4 linked regions of the Tamandua tetradactyla genome follow. The protein of the gene in region 3 interacts with the protein of the main gene of each other region in a pairwise test. Links are inferred from orthologs where the notes say so. Each region holds a gene or a part of one and is shown on either strand. Other genes may lie near its edges.

Region 1 (6,880 bases), about 52 Mb from region 3:
AAATAAATTCCCTTTTATTAAAAGCCAAACCATCTCTGGTGTGTTGCATTCCAGCAGCTAGCAAACTAGAACAACATATCAAGGAGTGACAGCCCAGCAGGAGAAATCCTCCCAGGTCCTATAGCCTACCCCACTCCAGACGCCCTTAGGGCAAGGACCACCAAACACCATGAACCCCATAGCAGTGAGCCCAATATTGGACACCACGGGAAGCCCAAGAAAATGCTGGCTGAATTAAAATTGTTCCCCCAGGGTAAAGGAGATGAAGCAGGCTGCAGGATTATCAGGGCGAGCCAGGATGAGGGGTAGAGGCAGCAGGTGTTTGTCACTGGTTCGTTAGATCTGACTGACCATGGGGAGAAAAATAGAACTGAATAGCACATGGAAGAACTAGGGGACTTTTTTGGGGGGGTTTGCTGCTTTTAAATAAGTGTATATTTTTCTTAGATAGAGGGCCTCTTCCCATGTTTGGACACTTAAGTGAAAGAGCTAATGAAGAAAGGGAAATTGGGACTGCAGGAGAGAGTGGGGAATGAGGGGGGTCTGCTCCCAGAAAAGGAGGAGGCAGAAGGGGTGCTGTAAAGGCCCCTGGATGGAGGGGACCTTTAGATAAAAAGGGAAACCTAAGCCAGCTAAGGCAGACCACAAAATAAAAAGAAACAATTAAAGCTGTCTTCACTTGAGCATCCCCAAAAGCAGATCCTGAAACAAGAATGTGAGTGCAAATAGCTTACTTGAGGCATTATCCCAAAACCCAAGAGCAGGAGAAAGGGAAGGAGGCAACGCCAATGGAACAATGCGTTCTCCCCTTCCATTTTGGGCAAAGGTGGAGTAACAGGGAAAACTTTAAAAACTGTACAAAATATATGATATAAGGCTTTTCAAGACATGCAAACATCACGCAAAGAATAATGATCCCCGAGAGGTGGGAAACAAAGGCGATAGCCCCTTTGTTTTTGTGAATAGCACCCCCACCACACCCTTAGTACAGTCTCCAAGCTATGGAGCAGGGAGGGGGATCCCAGGGTGAATCCAGTGGTTTCCCTTAGTCCAGACAGAGTTGAAATCCAGGGAGGCCCTTCTAGGCAGCCACAGGTTACAGGAGCAAGTCTACGGAAGAGAGTCCTACTTAACAAAGCTTAAAAACAAGGCACAGGAGGTGCGAGGGTAGTTCAATGGTAGAATTCTTGCCTGACATGCGGGAGACTTGGGTTCGATTCCTGGTCCATGCACTCCCCAAAACAAACAAACAAACAAAAAACACACAAGTAAGCAAAAATTCAACAAATGGTGCTGCAACAACAGGATACTCACATGGAAAAATAATGAAACGTGACCATCCCCGCCCGCCATACAGCATACAAAAAAAGGCATACACAAGTTTGTGATCCAGCTCAGGGGTTCCCAATCCTGGCAAATGGTCAGAATCGCCCAAAGGGCACTGCCTGGGGCCCTCCATCAGAGATTGTGATATAGCAGCCTGAGCAACTGACAGTAGCTTTAACCCACCCCCACCCCAGGTGATTCTAATGAGCAGCCAGGGTTGAGAACCATTCAGCCATGCTAGAGATGGTACAAGGTTTCAAACCTTGTAACACAGATTTTAGTGAGTCCTTTAATCCCCGCCTCCTCCGTCTACAATGATGTCATTTTTTGTTGTATTCATGAAGCATATTAAATTGGAAAGCACTTTTTTCAGATTTCAGGAGGCTCACATGCATAATTCATTTATTCCTTACAATCCTACCTGGTAGGCACAGGTGATACAGAAGAAGAAACTATGGCATATGGCATGGAGAAGTCCAGTTACCTGCCCTAGATCCACAAGGAGTGGCAACACAGGAGAGCTGGCCCAGTGCCCACCCTCTTATCTGTTGCTTCTCTGCTGCCCCATCTTGGTGGCTCCCCAAGTTGTCCTGTGAAGCAGGTGAGAGGCTCAGCTCCCAGTGTGCCTGACACTGAGTAGGCAGCCACAAAACTCTGATGAGGAGAATGTCTCCCTGGGACCACCTGTCCGTAACTGTGCTTCACCCCAGGCATGGTCCTAAAGGCAAAGGGCCAGGAGAAACCTGATAGCTTGTGAAAGCAATCTCCCTTTCATTATTCTCCTTCAATTTTACACCGCATGGAAACAAGTTTTACAAAAACTTTATACTTCTTTGACAAAGTAACCACAATTTATCTGAGAAACTCAGTTACATTAAAGAAACCCTCTTCCTCATCTCCATTCCATTCCGAAAAGCACAACCAAAAAAAAAAAAAAACCCACAAGACTGGACAAGGGATTTTCCATCTGATACTTTCTCCAGCTACAGGGAAGGGAGCACAAACTCTCTGCCGAGCTGCGTCCATGTTGCAACCTCCGCACAGCTGTGAAGTGGCTGAACAGGGGAAAGGGGGTGCAGCCCCATTCGCCAGGATTGATTCAACCCCAGAGCTTTAAACTCTAGCTGACGGTAAGGATGGCGATGAATCTGCCATAACACTGCAGCCTAATAATAATGGTTGACAGGTGGAGAATCCACCGCGATGCTGCCTGATTAATCAACACAAGATGAGTCCTCAGCCTAGCTTTCCAGAAAGTGGCTTCGCTTACCTCCAGAGGCCCACACCCCACGCCCAGCCCCCCGCCTTGCGCTGGGCCGGGCAACCTTACCCGCAAGAGCACAAGTCGCAGATGCACTTCCTCTTCGAAGGGGCCATCCTAAGGACCTGTGTCCACGTAGAACATCCCCTGCCGCCCCTGCCGCCCCTGCCGCCCGGTGTGCCCCAGCCGCCTCACTGGGGGCACACCAAGTCTCAAGGTCCTGGGCAAATGTTCTCCGTATTTATTCAAAAGAAAATTTAAGAGGCCCTTTTGCAAAGCCCTGTGATCTGTTGCCTTCCTTATGCTGGCCTTGCACGAGGGGCAGCAGGGAGGGCGGATGGCGCGCCAGCCCTGGCCACCTCCCCATGCACGCGGCCGCCCCAGCCTCTGCGCCCCGGACCCATGCACGTGGAGCGGTGTCCCGCCAGGGGAAATGAGGACTCTCTGTGACGTCGTGGGCCAGGAAGGGCACATATCTAGATGGCAATGACATCACAAGGGCCACTTGTGACGTGAGGGAGTCCCCAGTACCCCACTTGGAAAGCCCAGGACAAGATTTACCCCACTGGACCTTGGAAAAACATAAAGGAAGGTGGACTTTGGAAAGCTCGTGGGTGCGCTTATCAGCAAATGCCACGATCGCCTGTACAGAAAAGCTGAAAAGGCCACTGCCATCACATTATGTGGCATTTTCTGTCTCTAGGATCCGTGGTTCTCTTTTTTTATAGAAATGCATCCCTTGACCTCCAGAAGACTAACCTTAAATGCCCTTTCCAGACTAAATATAGTTAAGATGTCGATTCTACCTAAATTGATTTACAGGTACAATGCAATACAAATTAAAATCCCAAAAACTTCCTTTTCAGAAATAGAAAAACCAATAACCAAATTTATCCGGAAGGGCAGGGTGCCCCAAATAGCTAAAAGTATCCTGAGAAAAAAAAAATGAAGTCGGAGGTCTCACGCTACCTGATTTTAAGGCATATTATGAAGCTACAGTGGTCAAAACAGCATGGTACTGGCATAAAGATAGATATGCTGACCAATGGGATCGGATAGAGTGTTCAGATATAGACCCTCTCATCTATGGACATTTGATCTTTGATAAGGCAGTCAAGCCAACTCACCTGGGACAGAACAGTCTCTTCAATAAATGGTCCCTAGAGAACTGGATATCCATATGCAAAAGAATGAAAGAGGACCCATATCTCACACCCTATACAAAAGTTAACTCAAATTGGATCAAAGACCTAAACATTAGATCTAAGACCATAAAAGTGTTAGAAGAAAAGATAGGGAAATATCTTATAAATCTTATACTTGGAGGCGGTTTTCTAGACCTTACACCCAAAGCAAGAGCATTGAAGACAGAAAGAAAGAAATGGGAACTCCTCAAAATTAAACACATTTGTGCATCAAAGAACTTCATCAAGAAAGTAAAAAGACAGCCTACACAATGGGAGACAATATTTGGAAACAACATAGCAGATAAAGTTCTAGTATCCAGAATTTATAAAGAGATTGTTCGACTCAACAACAAAAAGACAGCCAATCCAATTACAAAATGGGAAGAAGACTTGAACAGATACTTCTCAGAAGAGGAAATACAAATGGCCAAAAGGCACATGAAGAGATGCTCAACTTCCCTGGCCATTAGAGAAATGCAAATCAAAACCACAATGAGATATCATCTCACACCCACCAGAACGGCCATTATCAACAAAACAGAAAATGACAAGAGCTGGAGAGGATGTGGAGAAAGAGGCACACTTATCCACTGTTGGTGGGAATGTCAAATGGTGCAACCACTGTGGAAGGCAGTTTGGCGGTTCCTCAAAAAGCTGAATATAGAATTGCCATATGACCTGGCAGTACCGTTGCTAGGTATCTACTCAAAGGACATAAGGGCAAAGACACAAACAGACATTGGCACACAAATGTTTATAGCAGCATTATTTACAACTGCAAAGAGATGGAAACAGCCAAAACGTCCATCAACAGACGAGTGGCTAAACAAACGGCGGTATATACATACGGTGGAATATTATGCAGCTGTAAGACAGAATAAAGTTATGAAGTATGTAACAACATGAATGGACCTTAAGGACATTATGCTGAGTGAGATTAGCCAGAAACAAAAGGACAAATACTGTGTGGTCTCACTGATATGAACTGACATTAGTGAATAAACTTGGAATGTTTCGCTGGTAACAGAGACCACCAGGAGATAGAAATAGCGTAAGATATTGGGTAATTGGAGCTAAAGAGATACAGATTGTGCAACAGGACTGAATATAAAAACTCAGAAATGGACAGCACAATACTACCTAACTGTAATACAATTATGTTAAAACACTGAATGAAGCTGAATGTGAGAATGATTGAGGGAGGAGGGCTGGGGACATAAATGAAATCAGAAAGAAAGACAGATGTTAAAGATTGAGATGGTATAATCTAGGAATGCCTAGAGTGTATCATGATAGTAACTAAATGTGCAAATTTAAAAAATGTTTTTGCATGAGGAAGCACAAAGGAATGTCATTACTGCAGGGTGCTGAAAATAGATGGTAATTAATATTTTAAAATTTCAACTTATGTGTGAGACTAAAGCAAAAAATGTTTATTTGGTGCAAAATTTATATTTTGACTAGTGCATTTCCTAATATAACTTATGAGGATAGCTTGGTTGAACATCATAAGTACATGGAACCTTGGGTAGGACATGAGATTTTGTTGATTTTTCCACCGTGATGACCCGATGAATCCCAGAGTGGTTCAATCAGTGAGTGGAAAAGTATTTGCAAAGTCCCCTTCGGGGAATGGTGAGAACAGGGGAAAATTCAACCTCCCCAAGTTGAATTCTTGATATTCTCACAAGCAGTGTGGACAACCAAAGCTCTAGGCTGAGCCCCCAGTCTTGGGGCTTGTTCATATGATACATAATCCCTCAAAGGATAGGTCAAGCCTACTTAAAATTAGGCCTAAGAGTCGCCCCCAAGAGAGCCTCTTTTGTTGCTCAGATGTGGCCTCTCTCTCCAGCCAACACATCAAGCCAACTCACCACCCTCCCCCTGTCTACATGGGACATGACTCCCAGGGGTGTGGACCTTCCTGGCAACTTGGGACAGAAATCCTAGAATGAGCTGAGACTCAGCATCACAGGATTGAGAAAAACCCTAGAATGAGCTGTGACTCAGCATCAAGGGATTGAGAAAACCTTCTGGACCAAAAGGGGGAAGAGTGAAATGAGACAAAGTGTCAATGGCTGAGAGATTCCAGAGTCGAGAGGTCATTCTGGAGGTTATTCTTACTCATTAAGTACATATCACCTTGTTATTCAGGATGTAATGGAGAGGCTGGAGGGAACTGCCTGAAGATGTAGAGCTGTGTTCCAGTAGCCATGTTTCTTGGAGATGATTGAATAATGATATAGCTTTCGCAATGTGACTGTGTAATTGTGAAAACCTTGTGTCTGATGCTCCTTTTATCTACCTTGTTAACAGACGAGTAGAACATATGGAATAAAAATAAATAATAGGGGGAACAATTGTTAAAATAAATTTATTTTGAAATGCTAGTGATCAATGAAAGGAAGGGGTAAGGGGTATGGTATGTATAATTTTTTTTTCTGTTTTCGTTTGATTTCTTTTTCTGTTTTTTTTCTTTTTCTGAATTGATGCAAATGTTCTAAGAAATGATCATGATGATCAATATGCAACTATGTGATGATATTGTGAATTACTGATTATATATGTAGAATGGATGACCATATGTTAAGAATGTTTGTGTTTCTTTCTAGTCTTTTTTTTAAATTTAAAAATTAATAAAAAAAAAAATGCCCTTTCCAGATCTTCCTTGGGGAAATCCACGCCTGTGGCTTCAAGTGCCTTTTGAGAATTGCTCCCACACACAGACCTTGCTCCCTTGAGACCAAAGCAGTTTAAAGCGCCAGGCCTCTACTGGTCATACGGTGCGCAATCTTCCAGGTGGTAATGTGGACCCTTGAAGCACTGGTTTTCAGATTTTGTGCATCAGAATCACCTGGAAGGCTTGATAAGCACCAGTTTGCCAGGCTCTTACCCCCTGGAGTTTCTGATTCAGAAAGGCATGTGTGGGGCCAAAAATATTCATTTCTAACAAGTTCCTAAGCGCTGCTGATTCTCCTGGGTCCAGGACCAGGCTTTGAGAACCTCCCCTTGATGCAGTGTTTCTCTAACTTACTTGCTCCTGAGAGCCACTTCAAATTGCTGGCCTGAACCCTCCTACATTGACTCTCTAGTTTTAGCAAAAAAA
Region 2 (7,604 bases), on a different chromosome or scaffold from region 3:
CTCATTGATGGTCAGCTGTGGACATGGGCAGCCAGGGCAGTCAGAACCCTAATTCCCCCCATTGCCTTTCCTGGGCCTTCTTACAGCTTTCCACCATCAGAGGAGGAGCCCATCCATAGGATGTCTGGTTGGTTTTTACGCTATACAGGAGTTTTCTGAGGGAGGAGGACAGAGGCCAGCACCTACAATTCTGAGAAACGCTCCAGGGCCGCCTCCACTACTACTGGGTCCTGAGTGACACCGAGCTGGAAAGCTGGGTCCCCCATGTCTCTGCTTTCCCGTCAGTTAAGAATGGAAACATTGTAGCTGCTGGGGTTGAGATACGTCGGGGAGGGGGGCATGGGTAAGCTTGGGGGGCATGGGTAAGCTTGGGGGGCATGGGTAAGCTTGGGGAGCACTAAGATTCTTGGAGGTGAGTGGGTTGAGGCTTAGGAATCAAGAACCAACCTGGGAGCCCAAGGCCCTCACCTCATGCAGGCTGAGCTGCTTGCCCTCCCGCCGTTTGGAGTCAAAACGGCCATAGATGATGCTGTACTTGCGGATCTCCTCTTCCTTCTGGCTATCATTATCATCCATCTCAAAGATATGCCCCACGCTCCGAGCCAGCTTCTTATTCAGCTTCAGCAGGGATGTTACTTCCCCAGCATCCCCCCTTGGGAAGCTCCGGAAGATCCTGTCCACACTCTCCACCACCATGCGTACCATCTCTGGCTCCAGTCGGTCTGGACCACCCCCAGTCCCACCTGCTGCCAGACCCCCAGCCCCAGTCCCTTCAGGAACTCCTCCCCCTGCAGGTGGGGAGAAGGGTGGCGAGCCAGCCTCCTCTTCTCCTCCCGCCCCAATGTCTGACTCTGGAGTGCTCCGTCCTGGCCAGATCCGGGGATCCCCTGCTCCAGGGCCCCCTGGCAGCGGTGACAGCTTCTCCCCAAGTTCCAGGGGGCTCTTAGGGCTAAAACTGCGGGCACTGCCCGCCTTTTCCCCTGGGCTGCCATGCCCGTTGCTCATGCTCCCTTTCCGGGTACCCGCCGTCTCAGAGATCTTGAAGAGTGGGATGCTAGAGACGGGCACGGCAGGCACCGGCTGGCTGAAAAGCCCTGGATTGGTGGCCCACTCTCTCAGTGCCTTCTGCAGGCGACGGACATGGAGAGGCTTGGTGGCCATGCCCACGAGGGCCATGATCTCCAGGAACTCCTCCTCACCCGCCTCGCACAGCTGCTGCACGTCGTCCCCTCCCTGCTGGATGAAGGTCTCATAGTAGGAAAGGAGGTTGGCACGCTGCAGGACCCGGTACAGCTGCAGCTCCCCCAGTGTCCGAGGCAGTGCCATAGCTTGGGCACTGGGCCTGCGGAGGAGGTACACAGAGTGAGGCAATCGGTATAAGTCCCTCTGCTGGGGACCATCCCATACCCACAACTGTCCTTTCATGTCTTCCCTTCTTTTGAATGCTCTCTCTGCCCACTGCCCAGGCCTAAGCACAGACTATGAGAATCAGACACTCTGCAAAACCTTAGATCATCCAGTGCCATCTCAGACTGCTTGGGTGCACCTAAAACCAGTGCTCAGTCCCTACAGAAGTCAAAGACTCTAAGTCCCTATCTTCAGTTTTTACCCTTCAGCTCCCAAGCTAGCCAGCACATCCCTGGAATTGCTGAACCTTTGTGCCCCTCAGAACAGTCTTCACCTTCATCCTAAACACCCAGCAGCTCTCAACACCACCTGGGCGACATCCCATGCTCAGGTGACTGTAAGACCACCTCTCTTCCCACTGTGGACACTGAGCCCACTGATGGCTGAATCCTTGATGGCATTTTGCATTTTGCCCCGATGGCTAACAAGGAGGTGTGGCCCCTTCCCTGCCTCACTCAGTGAACCATATGAGCCTCTCTCCTTAGCTCCCTCCTCTTCCTTTAGGTGTTCTCAAGGCACCCTTGCTCACTACCCCCAGTTCTTCCCCTCCTTTCTGGGTTGCCCAATGCCCCACACTTGGCCCCTCTCCTGGCAGTGACCTTCTCATCTGCTTAACAGGCCTGTTCCTTCAGCTCAGGCATGGGGGGGTGGTAAGGGAGGGGCGACTCAATTGTTCTGCTCTGGGGCCGTTCCGCCCCCACACCCTCCCACAGCGGTAGCGTCTGTGGGCGAAAAAATGCCTGGGGGCTCTCGCCTACCCTCCTCTCCCTCATTTTCCACCCACATCTTCAAATAGAGTGGGGGAGTGGCTCAAGGCGGGAGAGGCAGCACTCCAACAGTTGCCCCCACCTCCACCCCGCTGTGAATAAAGGCACAGAAATGGGAAGAGAGAGCTTAACGCATCCTCTGCTTGCCCAGTGTCCCGCAGATGCTTCCTTGGCTCAAACGCGCCGGTTCTCTCAGGTGGGAGTCAACGTCAGACTAAACAAGCTGAAGAGGCCCTCCTCGGACACTTCTGCCACCTAGAGCTCCCGGGGTTCCCTGGCACTTGGGCGGGGGGGGGGGGGGAGCTTCCGCATTCTTTGACCGGTTCCCTGCCAGGTCATGCTCACAGAGTAAAAGGCGAGGGGGAACTAGGTACAACTCTTTCTTATCCCAAATCCCTGCCCCCTCCCAGGGCCCCCTAATTCCAAGACTTACCCCCTTTTCCATCAGTCTCCACCCCCCACCCCCGTCCCGCTTTCCCTCTTCCTCCCTCGACCTCCGCCCTTTGGACCCCATTTGAGTCCGGCTCCACCCACTCCACTTCCCACCGCTTCCCTTTGCTCACTAACTTGAGTCTGGGCTGCGGGATCTGGCGGGCGCTGTCCCCTCCGCCCGGCGGCTGCTCGGCTGTGGGGGAGGGTGCTCTGTGCATGGACGGTCGGAGACTACCGGGGCTGCCCCTCTCGGTGCCTGGCACTCGGCGCCCGGTGCGCGCTGCGCTCTTCCCGGCGCGCGAAGCCGTGTCCGCCGCTGTCCAGGCTCCGTCCCTCCCTCCACGTCTCCTCTCTTCGAGCCTCCGCGCCTCTGCCTGTGCCTCTGCGCCCCCCCCACCCTCCCCAGCAGCGCTTGCCGCCTCTCCGTGCCTCCGCCTCCGCAGGACGCACGGGGAGCGAGGCCCGGCGCTGCGCTGGCTGGCGGGCTGGCGGGCGGAGGGCGTGGGCAGAGCCGGTGGCGGGGGGCGGAGGCCGGGGGCGAGGGGCGGGCACCCGGGCCTCTCGGCCGCGGAGATACCGCGGCAGAGAGGCTGAGGGAGGCGGAGACTGGGGGGGAGGGATTGCGGAGCAGTAAGCGGGGGCGGGGACTCGGAGCCGGGGCGCCGACTTGGGGACCGAGGTGACCGAGAACGGACTGTGGAGGGCGGGCTTGGGGACCCAGCGGGCGGGGAGAGGTCGCCCCGAGCCGCCCACGCCGGATGCACAGCCGGTCCTCTCCGCGCCCACGTACCCACGTGAGCTCCCCGCCGGCCACATTACCCCCCCCACTTCTCTGAGCTGAGAGCCGAGTGTCACAACCACGCACAGGTACACAAAGACAGAGAAGTGCACACGCGCTGAAACAACTCAAGAACGTTCGCTGCCCACACTCAGGTCTCGCGGTGCTGTGCGTGTGAATGTTAGGAGGGAGCTAGGAAAGTTGGCGGAGGCTCCTGGGCGCGCGGCTCTTTCTGCGCGCAGCTGACTCCCGTGCGGTTTGCACTTAGGGCAAGTCTCCGAGCGTGAGGCTGAGTGAGACTCCCTTAGATGTTCCGGCGCCCTTATTCAGCCCCAAAGGAATAATTTGGGGAGGCCACTTTCGGAGAACGAGGCTAGCTCCGTCCCTGCCTCGCGTCGCTGCAGGAGTTTGGGGAACAGGAATTGGGGTGGTTATGCTGGAGTTCACCACTTAGACGTGCGTAGATTAAACGGGTCGGAAGTTGTTAGCGCGTAGGTCAGGCAGGGGGCGGAGACACTCCGCCCTCCCCTACCTGTCGCCACCTATTTGTTGAGGGGGACCCGCCCCTTAGCAATTCTGTGTGGCAAACCTGTATTAGGGAAGATACCCGTCTGGAGACGTCTATTAAATGGTCTTGCCGGGAAGAGTCAAGTGGAATTCCCGCCTGAGGCTGGAGCGTTCGACGTGGCTTCCTACGGAAGAACTGGAGGGAGGAGCGCCTTGAAGGAGCCAGGCTCCCTCCTCAACCCACCGTCTCCTACCCCTTAGTTTTTCCCCATCTGGTTTCCATTTCACTCCCTCCCACGGTTGGGAGGGCCGGGGCGGAGGGGTAAGCTTGCGGGGGCTCTGAGGGCCCCGCCCAGCCGCCAAAGGCCCTGGGGTAAAAAGGGGTGGGGCGGGGCAGGGGTGGGAGTGGTAGGAAGAGAATGGTTAGGCCAGAGACAAGGTTCCCCCTAGTCTGAAACCTCAGCTCCGCCCCACCCCGCCGTTCCACACTTTTGAATGGTCCAGAGCTTAGCGGAGCGTGGGTGGCGTGGGCGGGGGCCGGTTCTGCATTCCGGCCGGGCCTTTAGGTCTCTGATGAGGTAGGGAGGTTGTTGGCCGTGGGTGGGGGGTGGGGGGTGGGGGATGGATTTCGGTAGTTAATATTTTCCTTCCCATCTCATTAAGCACCAAACACAGTGGGGGGCTTGTAGCAACGAGCACTGCCCCCCTCTCCTCCCGACTCCCCATCCCGCAACCAGAGGCGCGCCTAGACAGGCTCAGTCCGGGCACGCTCCCCGACCCTCCTCTGATGTCAGTGGGCACGGCCCCTCCCCCACTCCAGCTATGGTTATTTTGGATCCTGGGCTGCCAGCCGCTGGCCCCGGGTTTCCATGTGCCCCCTCCCTCCACCTGCCCACGCTCCTCGTGACGCACATCCTCCGCCCACGCAGCCTCTGTTAGAGGCGCCCCTCTCCCTCCCACCCGGGCCCCCTTGGGGCGGTGCTGAGCCCCGGGATCCGGAGGGAGACTCTGGCCCAGGGAGGAGGGCGGAGCCGGGGGTGGGAACCTACTAGGCCCGCGCGCCTGGGTTCCAGCTTCGGAAAGAGGACGAGGGAGGAGCCTGGGGCCTCTCCCCGGTCCTGGAGCAGGTACTCGGCTAGAGAGGAAGGTGGGAAGAAAAGTCCCGCGGACTGGGCTTGCCCACTTATCTGCGGGAGCTGGTGGGGGTGGGGTGTCCGGGTGCCAACGTGTATGTGTGTGAAGGAGTTAAACTCCCGAGTGTTTATAACTGTTTCTCAAGGTTGTCCTGAGATTGAAATGAGACAATGTATGTGAAAACTGCTTGTAAATTGTAAAATGCTAAGTAAATCTGAGACGCTGTCACTGGTTTGTGCCTCTCTACCCTGAAATTATGTATTTTTGTTTCTTTACATCTACTTTTGTATATGTGTGTCTGTCTCTCTCTAGGTTTGTATGAGTCCCAAAGCGTGGATTTTTAAAAAGTGATATATAATGTTAAAATCATTGACTTGTCGGGCCCCGTCGAGGCCCAGAGCGCCCCCGCAGCCGGAGCTGCTGAGATGTTTGTTCTTCGCTTCCCTCCCACTCCTATCACCCCCAACTCCCTCCCACTCCCTTCCGTTGAGAACAAGGAATTTCCAGCTTTGGGAAAAGGGAAAGAGACAAAGAGAGAATGAGACTATGAGAAGCTATAGAAAAGCATAAAGATAAGAGACAGATTGGAGGGGATATGACAGAGGGGAGTGGAATCCATACAAAAAAATCTTCCTGGTCTTTTCGCCGTGCATCCCATTCTCTCCAGTGGCTCCTTTTCTCTTTCCGACCACTTTCCTACCTGACTCAACTACCCGGCCCCGTTCCCCTACCCACCCCACCCCCGCCTTTTCCCTCAGTGTTTTCTGAGGCAAGTAGAGTAAATGTCCCATTTAATCAAGGATTAGTACTTTATTTTATGGTCCAGGCGGGTCTCTTTCAGGAAGCGTTTCTGCAGCAAAGCAGTATCTTCAGTCCCAGTTTTCCAAGAAGACAGGAAGAGGTAGGGAAGAAACGGGGTGGAAGTGTAAAGGAAGAGGAAAACCAGAAGGATTTTCATTGCCACGCGTAGACTTTCATCGTGCAGATTTCAGTGTTTATTCCTCCCCTCACGTTTTCACCAAACCAGTTCCCACTCAGCAAAGTCTGGCTCACATGTCACCTTCCGGGATCCTGCTTCCTAGATCCTCTCCAGTCCTCCACGCAGAGATTATTCCTCCCACCTCCACGGCCTCTGGACTCTTTCAATTATAGTTTGTTTCACCCTCAGCCCAAGACCTCTCTAGGCTGGGCCCTCAGAATTGAATGAATTGATGATGGTGCTTTGAGGCCTGAGGAGCTTTGAAAAGGGCAGCCCTGTAGATATCACTCCAATTGGGGCTAAACCTAGACAAGGCAGTTAAGTAGAGAAGTTGGTTTTCCACATCTGTCGAAAATCAGCTTCCAGGGAGTCTCACAAGTTTGGCTCCTTGACCTTCTAAAATGTCTACTTTTTTGGTCATTGAATTTACACCCAGATCTAAAGGAAGAGGCTGAAATCCTTCCTGGTAATAGAAAGGTACTGTAGTAGGGAAAAACTCTGAACTTCACCCAAGCATTGGAGCCTTTGAGAAGTGGATAAGCTTTTTTTTTTGCTGGTAGTCTCAGGTGACGCCAGTCCAAAGTCTGATTCCCGAATGTCTTTTGTTTTAAGATTATATAGGCCAGCTTCCAGAGCGGGAGTCACCATGGGAATGGACAGTGATGGTGTTGTAAGCAAACACTTCCTCTAGCTTGTGGGGCGGGAGTTACCGTGGGAATGGATAGGGATGGATAGGGGTTAGTTGCAAGCTCTTTTAGCTGATATTTCTTATCTGGAAAACAGACACTTCGTCTGGCTAAGTGGGCAGAACTGGGCATGCCTAGGCAGGTACAGTAGACATTTTCTTTCAGATAGCATGTTTTTACACATTCTTGAAAATACACAAATTTATAAAGTCATTCCAGCCAGTAAATGCAACAATAACTGGAGTCACTCTTATGAACAACCTCATTCCACCCTTTTGAGGATATTATTCATCACATTTTATTTTACAGATGCAGCACCGTTTTCATTTGTAGGGACTGGTTTATTTTTATGATGGTTCGAGGGGTGCAGGCCTCTGAGATTAAATAAGTGGGAGGCAGTTTTTCTGTCTACTAAGGCTTCTATAGTTCTACTTATACTTTAATAAGCAGGGGAAGAGGCAGAGGAACATAAGACACATACTAAGCAGCACTAAAACACTTCCAGTTAGAGTTTTGAATTCTCCAAAGGTTGAGAACCACCCTCTGAACAGGTTTTTGGGTTTGAGCTGTTCCAGGTCTGAACCAGGACATGGGCTAGGGTTTTCATGTGATTGGTGATTTCCTTTATCACTTTTCCTAGGTTTTCTAACTGCAGGCAACAGGAGTATGGGGTGGTGGTCCTGCAGGGACAAAGGGAAAGGGCAAGGAAGATTAACATTTCAATGTTTTGCAACTTATATAGGAAAGGAGGCGTCACCTGGATACATGGATAATGCCAGTAAATTAAAGTAAAAGTTTTGGGGAAGTAATGAAGACAGATTACTTCTGCAAGTACTAACATTGCTAGATACATGACATATGCGAACACAAGGATAAAAGATGCTGAACTGCAGACATGGCAAGCTGCATCACTC
Region 3 (7,833 bases):
GACAGAACCCAGACGCACAGCCGAGGGACAGCCAAGAGATAGCTGGTCCTCTAAGTGCTCCCAAACATTCCAGAACCCCAGCTGCCCCTTCCCCATGCACTCCCACAGGCTCAGTGTGAGCCCAGCAAAGGGACCAGCCCACCCTGTCAGGAGCCAATGCCTCAACGGCAAGTCCACTTGGTATACGAGGACTTTTAGGTCCCCCGAAGTAACACAATATGCAGTAGCCATTCTTTTGGGTTAGTGGCCAAGATCCAAGAACAACCCCAAGACTCAAAGGTGAGGCAAGTGGGTCTCATGCGTAACCTCAATCAGGAGCAGGCAACTGCTGCCTCCAGCACCCCGCACGCATCCAGGCTCACCCAGGACTCATGGAGGGGACACTGGCAGACAAATAAATAGACAGCAAGAGGCAGCTCGAAAATACCCACCACAGCAGCTCATGAAGTAGCCGTCCTGATCCCCGTCCTCGGTTTTTGTCAAAGGCATAGGCAAATATCTTAGCACCATTTCCATCTGCATCTACTTCCATTCGGGCCTGAAAAGGAAGAAAGAAAAGGTGTGTTTAAAAAGCCTCAGTCATTCTGGGGAACAATTCAAATTCTTTGTAGAAAAAAACAAGTGAAACAAATAAGCCAGACAAACAAATGCCAGCCCAGTCCCTAAGACCATGGGACCCTCCCTAGGACTCGCTCTCTTGCCATGGCAGTTTTCCACATGGGCACTGAGAAGCCAACCATGTCCGACAATTACTCTTTCTTCTGCTCAGGCAAGAAATGCCCATGAATAACTCTGCAAAATACTGTGGACACAAAGGCAAATATGTTTTCCTAACCCTGAAAAGGCTCACAGTCTAATAAGAGACAAGCCCCCAGATCAAACAATCATGGTAAAAAATGTCAAGGGCTGAAATGTAACATGGCAGAGCGACATGAAGAGAAGGGAACACTTTGGTGAAGAGAAGTTTGTCAAGTAGAGTCCACCAGGGAGAGGCATGAGAGCACCAAGGGCGCAGATAGGTGATTGGAGAATGGAAGATGTTTGTGGCATACAGGAGAACTGGCAGCCCAAGGCAGGAAGACAGGCTGAGGTACACGGCAGAGTCTCACTAAGGAACAGGGACAATAGTCAATTTCACAGATGTTTTATCACAAAAATGACAAAATTTGCTTTGTTTTTTAAAGAAGAGAAGTTAACACCCAGAGTAGAGGTGAGGAAAGGCCACATCCCAGGGGTCAGGCGGGAGGTCCTGTGGGCAATGTCATTGGAACTCCAGGTAGAGACCAGGACTTTGGACATGGGAGGCAGGATATATCTGGGTTTGGGGTCTCTCACTCCCATAGCACAAGGCAGAAAACTCATTTCTCCGGGCCCTCCCAAGGCTCCCATGGGCTAACCGAAAGCAGACCAGAAAAGGGCCAGACTGTCCTTACCTCGAAGGAGTAGCTCTCCACCAGCGGGATGTCTTGTTCATCTATCAGTGTGTACTTCGTCTAGAAATTAACCAGATGTTTCAAATCATTACACTAGGGATCAGCATGAGGCACTCAAATTATGGCCAAGAGCAGGATGAACTGTGGTTTCTCGTGAAGGAGAAGATAACTAAAGGCCCCTTCAGGTCGACAAAGGACTCACCTTGGCATGGGGTAAGACACAGGTGGATGTGTTAGAATACAAGTGGGAGAGGGTTTCGTCTGTCCAGAGGAGTCTGATTCCATGCACATGAGATTCCCCAAGAGAGTGACACTGAATCAGGCTGACTGCTCGCTTCTACCTAGTCAGAGATGGTGGGCTCACTGGAGCAGAGGGAGGGGGCATGACTGAGAAGAATATTCAGGATGTCTCAGTTACTGTTTAACTAATTAGGACGGGTGGTAAGTACACAGGTGTTCAATAAACTATTCTGGTTAGCTGTCTATTCGAAATGTTCCAAACAAGAGATTCAAGTGATGAGAGATACGGCATCAGTCACTGATATCTTTCCCTTTGAAGGGGTCTCAGAATTTAATGGGGAACTCAAGCTTCGCTTAGAAAACTACATCCCCAACAGCTGCTGCTGGAGCTCTTGCAGAAAAAGAAGAAAACGGTCACATGACTGGTCTAACTCTTGGAAAGTTACTACTGCTAGCGGATCTGAAAGGGCTTCATCTTCATCTGACTGCACACTGCCTCTTCTCTCTCCCACCAGAAATCTCTGCCACTGGTGAAGGAGTCGGGTTCCCACCCAGGCTAAGGTCAAGTGGCTGGTACAGCTGCAGGGGCCAGCCGCTGGAAACAGCCAAGCCTCCCGGCTCACAGGTGCCAATGACAAACACGTAAAGGTTAGGGCCAGGTAAAGGGAATGAAAAAGCCCAAGAGCGGATGGCAGCAGAGGGAGGCCCTGGAGACCCTGGCTTCCTGTCCCTGCTTTGGAGAAACCTGTGGACGCTCTGCCAAATGTGGCCAACCCTTGGCAGCATTAAAACGAGCCCCTAAGCACCCCTGTTAACCGAGAGACGCAGAACTTGGCCACCAGTCCACACCGGACCCCCTTTAGCAGGTGTGGAAGTGGCACTGCCTCAGAAAGGGCGCTGCGTTCGACCCGTGCGGCCGCAGGTACAGGCCCCAGATAGCAGGCACACCTGGACCGGGCCAGGTGAAGCGGGACGAGGCGCGGGGCGCTTGCTCCGAGGGCAGGCCATGCGTCCCGCACGCGCAGCGGGCCCGCGGGGCTGGACCAGCAGCAGCAACCAGGTGCGTCCGCGGGCCGAAGGCGAGAGCCCTGGGTCGGAGGCCGGAGCCCGCCGCGCCGCACGCCCTGCGAGAAGGCTGCACCGCGCCGCCCGCCGACCCCGGCCTGGCCTGGCTCCCACCGCGCCCTCTCCCTGCTCACCTTCCCGGCCACCCGGCCGAGCCGCACGATGCCCAGCTTGAAGTCGGTCATGGCCGGGCCTGCGCTCGCCCGGCAGCGCCGCTCCCCCGGGAGGCGCTGGGGCCCGGGCAGGGGCGAGGCCGCGGCGCGCTTGTCCGAGGTCGGGGCCGGCGTTCGGGCGGGCCCCAGACGCGACGGGACGAGGCTGGGCCGGGATCGGGCCGCCGCCGTCGCCACCGCCGCCGGACCTGCCACGCGCCGCCGCCGCCACCGCCGCCGCCGCTGCCGCGCGCACCGCCGCGAGCCGAGGGGGCGGGGCGCCGCCGACACACCCCCGCCCGCGGCCGCCGACCAATCACGAGGTGCGCACCGCGCCGACCGGCGCGCGCCGACACACAGCGGCCAATAGGAGACGGGCGAGTGCGCCGGCGCCCTAGGGGCAAAGCGAGCGCGGGGGAGGGGCAGGGCGGGGGGCGGCGCCTGCGCGGCCGGCTCGGCACCGACGTCAGTTTCGCGGGAAGCTTTGGCTGCGGCGGCGGAGGCTTGGCGGCCCCGGCCGGGATCCCGCTGACCTTTGGCCGGACCCCGCCGGACCCCGGCCCGGGCCATGCGGTCCCAGGCCCAGACCTCGCCGGCCTCAGGCCGAGACCCCGCCGACCAGGCCGCCCCCGGCCCGACCCTGCCTCCTTGCCGGTGCCCTCGCCAAGACCGCCCCTCCCGCGCTGTGTCCAGCGGAGGCCCCGACGTCCTTTCGAGACGGATCCTGAGGCAGCTGTGTGGAGTCAGGAGCAACGAGGAGACTGGGAGAGACGCGTGGGCCCTGGCGGTGGGAAGGTGGAGGGAGGGGGCGGACGGACTGCAAGCCTTGGCCAGACGCTGGGAGGCGGGAGGGGTGCCTCTGGAAAGGCAGCACAAGGCCTTGCCCATCTGAGCCTCGGGGCTTGCTTGCTGGCCAGGTCATGTAACTGTCCTCGTGTCTCCTGGTTTGCCTGCTCTCCTCCCTTCTCTGTGCGGAGGCTAGGTCAGGCCCACCACGTGATCTGGGGGCTTTAACCCCGCAGTTCATCCTCAGCGTCCACCGACCCTCACTGTAAGCTGGGCTGATGCTCCAGGATGGAGAATTTCTGCTGGGGACAGAAAGTCCTGTGACCAGTTCTTCCCGGAAACAGGAACTCCAGGGACCATCTGGGTTACAGACTCCAGCAAGAAAGCTGAGACCCTCTCAGAGAGGAGCTAAGTGGGGCCTTGGCTGGCATGCGTCGGGATCGAAACAGGAGCAGTACTGCCCCTCTTCCCCGCCCCACTGCCAGGATTGAGGTGGGGCAGGTCCTGTGTCCATCAACAGAGGGTGATCCCCCAAACCTCCTTTCTTGTATGCTGGGTTATGTTTTAGAGACAAGATCTGCAAAGGGTTTTTTGTGAGAGACCAGAAATTCCATCTGTGGATCCCTTGAGACTTGTCTGTTCCCCTGAATGTCCTGGAGGACAGGAAGGACTGGCAGGTCCTGGCCTGGGTGGAGATGGAGGATCTGGTCCTTACTGCTCGCAGCACATGTCCTGCCAACCTCAGATTGACATAAACGTAGTGAGATTATTAGAAAGTTCTGTATGGAATTAGAGTGCTGTTCTAGTTTGCTAGCTGCAGTAATGCAATATACCAAAAATGGAATGGCTTTTAAAAAGAGGAATTTAATAAGTTACAAGTTTACAGTTCTAAAGCTGTGAAAATGTCCCAATTAAAGCAAGTCTATAGAAATGTCCAATCTAAGTCATCCAGGGAAAGATACCTTGATTCAAGAAGGCCGATGAAGTTCAGGGTTTCTCTCTCAAGTGGAAAGGCACATGGCGAACAAGGCATCTGCTAACTTCCTCTCCAGGTTTCTTGCTTCATAAAGTTTCCTGGAAGCGTTTTCCTTCTTCATCTCCAAAGGTCACTGGCTGGTAGTCCCTGTGGGTCTCTCGTCCTTCTGTCATGGTTTTGTGGCTCCCTACTTGTTCTCAAAAGGAAATCTCTCCAAAATGTCTCCTCTTCTATAGGATTCCAATAAACCAATCAAGACCCACCTAGAATGGGTGGAGACACGTCTCCATCTAATTATGTTTAATATCCGCAATTGATTGAGTCACATCTCCGTGGAGATAACCTAATCAAGTCTCTGAACTATAGTGCTGAATAGGGATTAGAAGAGATGTTGCTCCCACAAGATTGATTAGGATTAAAACACCCCTTTTCTAGGGTACATAAATCAATTCAAACCAGCACAGGTGCCATAAAGAGGTTGGGCTTTATGTGGTGGAGGCAGCTGGGTGCTCATGTAGAATGGTGGGAAAGCTTTGGTGCCTTAATGTGGGTTTCCCCAGAGGTCAACATGTAATAGGAATTTGAGTGCCAGCCGTTTGTGAGGGGACACGAAGCAATGGGAGGGCCTGGAGATGCCATGCAGGAGAGAAGGGTAGCCAGCAGGGAGCGTTGTTGATCCAGCCCAATGACAGCGGCTGCGCTGGGGCCTCAGAGGCAGCACAGGACACTCTCAGGTTACCTCACCAAGGGGTGAGGGGTACTCACCCCTGACCTCGGCAGTCATGGGCTGGGTGCTGCTCCTGGGGAAGTTCAGCCCTCAGCATGTCTAGCAGAACTAGGTCCACAGCAGGAGAAAAGCATCAGGTGATGGAGAGCAGAGATGTCAGTGCAAGGTCCTATGGGCAGGGTCCACCTGTCTTGCAGGGGACATGTACCTGGACAGCTTTGAGCAATGTAACAACTTTACCTCTTGGGTTTCAATTCAGTCCCCAAGTATAATGAGCACAGCATTGCCTACCTCTTGGTGATGTGTAAGGATGACGTGAGGTGACAGTTCTCTCTCTTGCAGCTCCCACTCCCACCAACATCCCCCCCTCCCCAGAAGGAAAACCCTGGGCCCCACATCTGCCTCCAGCTACTGCCCCATATTCCTGCTGCCTTTCACAGCACATATTCTTGAAAGAATTGTCTGTGCTTCTTGCCTCCTCTGTGTTTTCTACTGTTTCATAACAGATTGCCAGAAATGTAGTGGCTTTAAAAAATATAAATTTATCATCTCCCAGTTCTATATATCAGAAGTCCTCGTGGCTTTGGTTGGTTTCACAATGCCAAGCCGAAGAGTTTGCTGCCTTGGAGCTGCTTTCTGGAGGCTCTGGGGCAGAATCCACTTCTAGCCTCTTTCAGGTCTTTGACAGTGGTTGTAGGAGGTGCCTGTTTCTTTGCTTTTTTTTTAAACTTTGGGTCATTCTCAGACTCTAGAGGTCACCTGCATTTCCTGGCTCATGGACCCCTTCACCTTCAGAGCGAGCAGTGGCAGGTTAAGTCCTCACACTTTGAATCTCTCTAACCTCCCCTTCTGCCTCATCTTCCTTCCTTCAGCCAGAGAACGTTAACTGCTTTTGAGTGCTTAATGTAATCAGAGTGGGCCCACTCAGATAATCTCTGTATTTTCAGGTACTGACTGGTGGTTTGAAGCTGTATATACCCCAGAAAAACATGTTCTTAACGTTAACCCATTCCTGTGCGTGTGAATCACTGTAAGCAGGACCTTCTTTTTTCCTTAATTTTTTATTAATTAAAAAAAAAAATTACAAGAAAGAAACACAAACATTTTTAATATATACTCATTCCGTTCTACATATATTATCAGTAATTCACAATATCATCACATAGTTACATATTCATCATCATGATCATTTCTTAGAACATTTGCATTAATTCAGAAAAAGAAATAAAAAGACAACAGAATAGTAAAACAAACAAACAAAAAAATTTTACATACCATACCCCTTACCCCTCCCTTTCATTGATCACTAGCATTTCAAACTAAATTTATTTTAACATTTGTAAGCAGGACCTTTTGACGAGGCTACTTCAGCTAAGGTGTGACCCACCTCAATCAGAATGGACCTTAATCCTCTTACTGGAGTCCTTTATTAATGAAATAAACAGAGAGAGAAAGCCCCTGAAGCAGGAAGCTGAAAGCAATGAAACAAAACTTGGAAGAGAAGGGAAAGACCAGCAGATCCGGCATGTGCCTGGCCATGTGGCAGAGGAGCCCAGGATCGCCAGCAGCCGGTCTTCAGGAAGAAGGCTTCACCTAATGATGGCTTGACTTGGACATTTTCTCAGATTTTAGCAGTAAGCAAATAAATTCCCATAGTTTATAGTTATATGCCTTCTCCATAATATCTGGAAGTAGAAGCAATTTGTTATGCACAAAAGTGGAAGCAAATTATTAAAATCTACAGATTTTAATTTTTAAGTAGAGTGAGCATGTTGAATTTAAATATGAATAACCCCAACAATTTTCAGTTTCTGTTTTGCTTTGGTCAAACTTTGGTGTGTGTTCATCACCCATCAGTTGTTTGTGAGGATGTATCTTCTATATGAATATTGTTTCAAGTTTATATGGGAAAAATTGGAACTAAACATTTCATCGTCCCAAGTCTGCAGAAGAAGCACAATTATATTGCTTTGTCTTGCTTATAGTTACTAAATCATTACTTTTGAAAAAATAATTCCTTTGTTTAAGTTGAACCATTTCATGGTATTTGCTTGGAGCAGCCTAGGAAACCAAATCAGTAACCCTTGCGACATTCGCAAAGTCCCATTTGTCATGTAATATGACTCATGTATAGGTTCCAGGGATGAGGAACAACCTTGGGGGCCATTCTGACCAGCACACCAAGTCTCTTGACTTCCATCCCCACCACTCCACTCCAACTACCCTTGTTGAAGTCCTGATAACCTCTACTGCCAAGTCCACTGGTCACTGTGGCATTGCTCAGCAGCTTTGAGCATCCACCATGGTGTTATAGACTCTAGAGGGTACTTTAGTGAACGAAACAAACAGAAACCTGTTCACATTCCAGTGAGAGAGGCAGAAAATATGCATAACTAAGCAGTATGTTGTGTTAGAAAGCAATAAACACTATGGGAAAATAAGTAGATCGACATA
Region 4 (7,152 bases), on a different chromosome or scaffold from region 3:
CAGAAAGCAAACACCAAGAGACAACAGAGCAGATTCCAGGAACGGGCCTTAGGCAGAGAAAGAAGTCAGTATCAAGAGGAGGCCAAACCAAGAACAGAAAGCCTAAGGAATGCTTTATAATATAAAATCTCCTTTGATGTTTCCTTTCCTGACCTATGAGCCATAATCTTATAGTTTTGGGCCATAATCAGCCCTGCTTACAACCCCAGATTCATGCTTAATGTCCTTGCCATCTCTACAAGGTGCCTCCCCTCTATATTCCTGACTTAGACTGAGAAACTGGATGCAGATTCCAATGAATTCAGAGTCTCTCCTTGGCCCCCCATGATATGTATGAGTCTTCATCCTTGAGTGTTCACATTGCTTTTTAAGTGTCCACAAATGTATCTGCCTCTCCACTGGGCTATATGAGTTTCCCACACACCAGCCTGGGCCTCATTCAGCTTAGTGTTCCCAGAACCCAGCAGAGTATTTAGCCCATAGTAAATGATTTTTAAAATGCTCACCAAATAGTAGAATAAACACATGAACTCTAGATTAGAATTGTGACAACGTTACTGATTGGCTTCCCCACTGTCTTAGTGATCTAGACTCATTACCCTCATCCTTGTTAGTACTCATCTTTTTACTAAGCCTTCTCTAGGGTGTCAGAAGTGAGCCTTAGAGTCCCTTTCCTAGCAACCTTTGCAAGAACGAACTCTACTGGCATTTCCCCTGGTTGTCTATTGCATTCCCGTAAGTATAAGAGTCACCTTGCATGCATCCAAGTTATCCCAAAGCTCTTATTACCTTATTACTAAATTCCCTGAAGCAAGAAGGCAAGTTTGTTTTTATACTTTCCTGACTGTTTTATTTAAATTCTTTTAAAAATTCCCCAATATAATTAGCAAGTACTGACTTATCTCCTCCTATGTGCAGGCAGCTAGGATAGCTGGAGGGATCAAAAAAAAGACATCTGCTTTCTCTTCAGTCTTTTATCTCGGTGTGGAGGGAGGACAGGGACCCATGAGCATCAGTACCACCAAAGGCACTGCACAGACATAGGACCAGGGCAGCTTTGCCATGGTAGCCATCAGCGAGGCAGAGAAGAAGGCATCTGAGGAGAAAGTGGCACTGAAAGGGTAGGCATGATGTAAGCACAGAGTTGGGGAAGAGAAAGGAAGCAGGTCCAGGGCCCAGAACGCCTTTTGATGAACCCAGCAGTAAGCAGGAAGAGAGGCTAATGTTGGGGACACAGGGAAGGCAGGGGCAGGACAGGCTCCATGTCAGAAACCACAAGGATAAAGGTAGCCCAACACCATGCACTGCCCATCACACCGTGAAATCAATCCTTCCATCAACAATCTCCTCTGTAGCCCACGGGGGGGGGGAGGGGGGACACAATTAACTAAATAAAGATAGCTGATAAATCATTTAAACTTCTGATATCTTTTCAGTGTGGCATATTTGTACCACATAAGGAAAAAAAAAAGTGAGCTGGCAAAATCAGGGTTGCTAAGATCACCACAGATGAGCCCCAAAAGGCTGGCTGCTTTCGCAATACCTCAGAAGATGAGCAATTAAAATTCTTCCAGTATAACCATTTTAGAGGTGAAGGGCACCTATATGACAGCAGAGATTCATGCTTCTGCAAAGTTAATCTCCAGCTACACTTAACTGCATATACCAAGAGCCCTATCTTGTAGAGAAGTAGTTTTAAGGACCTAGTATAAGAATTTTAGACTACCTTCCTTTTCATAGACACAATACAGAACAGTTCAGTACTATGAATGCTAATCAAACTTAAGCTAAAGAGACTTTTCTTCCAACACAGAAATCTATACTTTTTTCCTTCATTATCTGCAGAGGGTTTTAGCATCATCTATGCCAATTCAATAGGAAATAATCTGCAATTTCACAAAAACTGTGATATTACTTCATGGAGTACAACTACAAAGACTGCACCTACTAATCACACACAAAAGATCACACAGATGTTCCCTTATCCTCTCTCCCGTAATAATTTCAGGGAAGAGAAAAGGGGAAAAAAATCAACATTTATTGCTTACCTTATTTAATTTTCAGAACAACTCTGTGAGGTAGGTTTCATTATCTTCATTTCAATAGATGACAGAAGTGAGGCTAAGCCATTTTTCCAAGACCATAAAGCTAGTAAGGGATAGAACTGGCATTCAAGCTCTGTCTTGAGTCTAAAAGCTCATGTCTCCTAGCTCCCTGAGAACAGGAGCCAAACACCTTGGCTGGGTCCAGTGGATGATGTGGGAGGGTAGGCAGGTTGTGGGGGAGGATGCAGTATCATAAAGAGGCTGACATCGTTTGGCTGCCCCTTCAACCTACCGCCAGGCAGAGTGAATTGTGATGCAGGCACTCACGTCACCTGGGTGGGGCAGGCAGAGGCAGAATGGGGCTTGACTGAACTGGGGGGGAAAGAGATGTTTGTACATCCACCTGGAGTCCAAGAGAGAGTGATTAGTCATAGGCTATAATTATGCCTATCAGCTGCTATGCTTTTAAAAATAGGATTTGATGCCAAATATGTGTAAAGAAAGATAACTATCTATCTAGAAGATGTGGCTGTCTGGAATTATCATGGGTTACCGGATGCAGAGAAGGTAGGTCTCCACTGATTGACTCTTCATTCCACTCTCTTATACCCAACTACACAAACAGTATTATCCTGACTCGGGTGGAAGATGTTCTCATATAAGATATAATTCCTGTCTGTAAGGAGCCAGAATACTGTGGGGGAAGTCAAACAACAAAAAAACATTTCAGGGCACAGTCAAGTAGAAAACATACACAGTCAATAATAATTTGAGGGGTCTAGAGGAGGGGGGGCACCTACCCTCCCATGAACTCAAAGTCTTTCCTTTCCACCCCTCACCCCTACTACCCACACTTAAGACAGAAGCAGAAAGAAACAAACTAATAGGGCCTTGTTCTAACCCTTGTAATTCACCAAATCCAAACAATACGATTTCTTCTGATTTAGATATAAGCCAGGGAAGGAGGAGAGAAGGGAGGGAGGGAGACTCTTTCATAGTAACTTCTAGGAATCTGTAAATGTATATATACGTTCCCTGAAACATAGTGTTTCCTTAGTACAGGGATACAAGAGGACATGCCACTATTTTCCAAACAAATCCTGGAGGAACATGCTCTAGCCCATTCTCTCAGTGATGGCTGCTGGAAAAATAAACATAATTTGACTTTTGTCCAGACCCTCTGTATGAGGTACACTGAACCCTCCTGTCTGGAAACAGGCTTTTGCCTATAATAAGAGAATGACTTGATTCTACATTTTGGGTGTGTATTATGGAAAACACAAATCAATAAACTTCATTGTTTTGCTGATATTATAGAGTTGGGGAAGAGAAAGGAAGCTGATTAATAAAACACTTAGCATCAAAGAGACATGTTCGACTTTAGAACAATGAGATGGCCACCCTGACAAGACATATTTGGGTACAATCTGGTGTGATGATATAGGATATTATAGGCCTGTAAAGAGAAGCAGTCAGGACTGTCCAGTGACTGATGCTAAAGGCTCATCCCAGGTTTCTTAACTATGACTGATCTGGATCCCACATTCCTGCTTCTCTTCAAGAGGGGCTGTGCCCAAATTCTCTTTACCATGGCACCAGTGACTATCCTTACACCCAAGAGGAGAGCTGTGGAGTCACCTCTATATAAGGGACTGAGGGCACCACTGAATCTTCTGCCCTGAAGTTCCAGCTTGCACCAAAGAGGCATCCTGTCCTAGAAGGCCATTGCTGGGAGTGAGCAGGAATAGAAGTGTGAGTGTAAAGAAGGACTGAGAATGGAAATCTTCTAGCAGCGCTTACATGCTATTATGATGATATATTTGCAAGCCTACCCCTTTTCCTGGACCAGGAGTTCCCTGAAGTCTGGAGTTCTGTCCATGAAACCTAGCAATATTCAGCAGATAGCATGGGCTCAGTATGAGATTACTGAAAACATGAAAAAATAAATGCTGCAAGTCAGAAGAGTTGCCCTCGATGAAAATTAGTGTTTTAAAGCTGCTGTGGCATTCAAGTATTTATAAGATGCCATGGAGACTGATTTAAATAGAAGCATGAATTGAATCAAATCCTACATATCTGATAATTTATCTGTGGACAAGAGCATTTGAGGAAGACTGTGGATATAAAGGTGAATCCATTTTTTCTGATCAGTTACAGGCTGATGTTCTTTGATATCTACCTCAGTCACATCCAATTCTTGAAGTATAAGGAAAAATCCATTTAAAAATAGGGTAATTGGGGAAAAAAAGAGTCTTCCATTAACTAGATTCAGATAATTCAATATTTTTACTACTAAACCCCAGAGATCTAGATTGCTAAGGAATAGCATTTGCTTTGAATAAAATACTATTTTGGGAAAGCCAGTATTGGCTTAATGAGATTTTTGTGTACTGGGCTTAATAAAAAAATTGTATTAGTCATTTTGTACAAATATGGTAGAGTTGATGAATTACTCATAATGAAGGAAAATAACCTCCAATCCATTTTAATAATTCTCTTACTTCAAAATACAGAAATTATCTGTAAGCACACAGAAACCTAGATGATGATACAGGTCCAGATAAAGGAAGTGATTAGCCAAAGTCACATAGCTAATTCACAGTAGAGATGAGATTAGAATCTAGGTTTCCTAACATCTTGTCTAAAACACTTCCTACCACATGCGTGGCTGGAGAACACACCTAGGCACCTAGGACAGGTGTGGCAGGCAGATCTCCACTGTTTGTATCATGTTGACTTTTCATGGAGACCCAAAGAGTCAATGCATTAAGCTTTAGTTTCCAGATTTGGAAATGGATTTCAGGCCATTAAAAAAACACAGCTACTATATATAGTAATTAATCATCATTTCATAAAGAAGGGATTTTAATATTAAAAATAGGATCTCTGAATGAACAGAGTTTTTATTTAAAACACTCACAATGCTCACCCACATTTTCCCCATTTTGTTATGGATCATGGAAAAACTTCAACATGCAAAGTCACTGTTAGTAGACCTACATTGGAGAACCAGTGGTTTTGTGGAAAGAACACAGAATTTGGGTCTCAACCACATCACAGTTACAACGCATCCTCGGGTGAGTCATTTTGACCTCTGGGTCTGTTTCCTATTCAGAAAGGTCAATAATAATTCCTGACCTACCTGCTGTAAGGGCTGTTTCTTTAAGCAAATCTAGTATGGTTAGTCTCAAAATGTAGCCTCAAGACCGCCTGACCCCATGCCAGAAAATCTGGAACCAGGATGTAGTTCTAAGAGGTCCAGATTAGAAGGCAAGAAACCTGAGTTCATATTTTTTAAATGGTGGTTTATAGTATCTGCTCTAATGACCACAGAGGCAGGTGTGTAAGATTACAAGTGTAAAATAATCCTTCAAAATTGAGGAAGTCAAATCAGTTAGACTCTTTTCTCAACTGACAAATAAGGATAGTGAACTAGATCAATGACTCCCTTTCAATAGCTAAACTTTTCTTCAGGCAAAATCTTTTGAAGAAGCAAAGGCTTTCAGCCAATGTGGAGCTGGTGTGGTACAAGTGATAAGGATCCCTGTCCTTTCCCCTTCCCTCTCACTCCCCTCCCTTCAGGTAGCCTCTGAGATACCCCCATGTTAGAACATAATTGAACTACTTGGTATCTGAGGTATATTTCTGGCTTCAGAGAAAGTAAGTCTAACCATTCGTCATCAATCAATGCCATAGAATGGAAAAAGCATGGAATATGTAGTCCCTCAATCATCGGACCTTCCTTCCCAATCAAGTAATTCATGTGTAGGATATCTCAGATTACATGGTGTTCAACAAACATAATCAACGAGGAAATCATTTTTTAAAAATCAAATTCATTACTATTCTTCAGTTAACACTGAGGTTCTAACCAAGTTTATTTTTTTCCTCCCTTTCTATTTTCATTGTGCCTATGGAATCTATCCCTTCCTTTCTACCCCCTACAGCCACACCCTCAGCATAAGTTTCAGGAAAGTACGAGGGCCACCCACCTGCCTTCTTTATATTATTATCTCGCTCTTCAGACCCCTTTAGTTAACCTCAAGCTTTCTTACTAAATTCACTGTTTTGATAGTGTCACCTGAAAAATCTGTGACTATGTACAAGTTCTCACTCCATAGTCTAGAAAGAGACACTACAAACTGATTAACTTCCAACTGCCCACACTCCCTAGCTCCTTTCAGTGTCAAGCATATTTATGTAGCAGGATTCTTGGATCTTTAGGCTCCAGCCTCAGATTCCTTGTCCTGGACATGCATGACTCTCTGGGTCTCATCTTGATAGAGAGCAGATTCCACCAGTCACCTCAGAGCTGAAGCCAACTCTTTGGAGTCATCCTTGACACACTGATTTCTCTCACATTCCCTTCCAGTGGCTGAGTCCAGGAAAACATGTTTGCAATGTGACCGTTCCGCATCAGCTCCACCACCATCCCTTCCTGGTTCTCCGACCATGTTCCCCTATGCTCAGCTCACTCTGAAACAGCTATCTGGTCTGCTTGCTGTCCTCAAATGCATCAAGCACACTCTAGCCTCTGGGCCTTCACACATGCTGGTTTCCTCTGCCTGAAAGGCTCTTCTCCCAGATATATGCTTGGATATATAATCCCTCCATTCACTCACGTTTCCCCTTAAATGTGGCCTCCTCAGAGAGGTCTTCCCTGACCACCCTATTTAAAGTAACACTTCCATTACCCTATCTTAAGGCTACTTTATCTTTTTTTTATAACATCAATTGAAATTCAATTCTATATTCATTAGTTTGTATGTTTTTTAACTGGTTCACCCCTCATTAGCTGTTCAGCTCTGTGAAGTCTGAACTGCAATTTTGTTTTCTGACCTAGTATACCTAGTGTCTAGAATAATATAGAACACTTACAAAGTGTTCAATAAATATTTTTAATCAGTCAAATAAGTAGCTCCCCAAATTGGACTTTGTCTTTAAGCACCTCATGTCATACCCATGTACATATAATGCTGAACAATGTGTATATTGTTACATTATAGCAATGAATAAATATGTATATATTTATTATAAATAAATATAAATAAATATTTCATGGGCAGGCACTGGGAATATATATTTTTGATATTTCAAAATTAGTTTT

Evidence for each region.
Region 1: the proteins of ZMYND19 (region 3) and SAXO1 interact in binary tests that used the Homo sapiens proteins (3 or more experiments, as listed by UniProt). The two-hybrid records come from large-scale screens. The link is inferred for Tamandua tetradactyla from reciprocal best matches to the Homo sapiens genes ZMYND19 and SAXO1.
Region 2: the proteins of ZMYND19 (region 3) and NAB2 interact in binary tests that used the Homo sapiens proteins (3 or more experiments, as listed by UniProt). The two-hybrid records come from large-scale screens. The link is inferred for Tamandua tetradactyla from reciprocal best matches to the Homo sapiens genes ZMYND19 and NAB2.
Region 4: the proteins of ZMYND19 (region 3) and ENOX1 interact in binary tests that used the Homo sapiens proteins (3 or more experiments, as listed by UniProt). The two-hybrid records come from large-scale screens. The link is inferred for Tamandua tetradactyla from reciprocal best matches to the Homo sapiens genes ZMYND19 and ENOX1.

Annotation. Positions count from the first base shown.
Region 1 is NC_135328.1:78,081,345-78,088,224, reverse strand, and holds the start of SAXO1 (stabilizer of axonemal microtubules 1), read right to left. Parts: upstream 3,018-6,880; 5' UTR 2,704-3,017; coding exon 2,657-2,703; intron 1-2,656. UniProt on the Homo sapiens protein: May play a role in the regulation of cilium length. Stabilizes microtubules at low temperature.
Region 2 is NC_135333.1:124,235,563-124,243,166, reverse strand, and holds the start of NAB2 (NGFI-A-binding protein 2), read right to left. Parts: upstream 3,019-7,604; 5' UTR 2,825-3,018; coding exon 2,742-2,824; intron 1,343-2,741; coding exon 469-1,342; intron 16-468; coding exon 1-15. UniProt on the Homo sapiens protein: Acts as a transcriptional repressor for zinc finger transcription factors EGR1 and EGR2. Isoform 2 lacks repression ability.
Region 3 is NC_135328.1:130,322,548-130,330,380, reverse strand, and holds the start of ZMYND19 (zinc finger MYND domain-containing protein 19), read right to left. Parts: upstream 3,002-7,833; 5' UTR 2,924-3,001; coding exon 2,873-2,923; intron 2,328-2,872; exon of another isoform or gene 1,531-2,327; intron 1,494-1,530; coding exon 1,434-1,493; intron 1,211-1,433; exon of another isoform or gene 539-1,210; coding exon 432-538; exon of another isoform or gene 1-431. UniProt on the Homo sapiens protein: May be involved as a regulatory molecule in GPR24/MCH-R1 signaling.
Region 4 is NC_135330.1:115,493,506-115,500,657, reverse strand, and holds the start of ENOX1 (ecto-NOX disulfide-thiol exchanger 1), read right to left. Parts: upstream 3,017-7,152; 5' UTR 2,049-3,016; intron 1-2,048. UniProt on the Homo sapiens protein: Probably acts as a terminal oxidase of plasma electron transport from cytosolic NAD(P)H via hydroquinones to acceptors at the cell surface.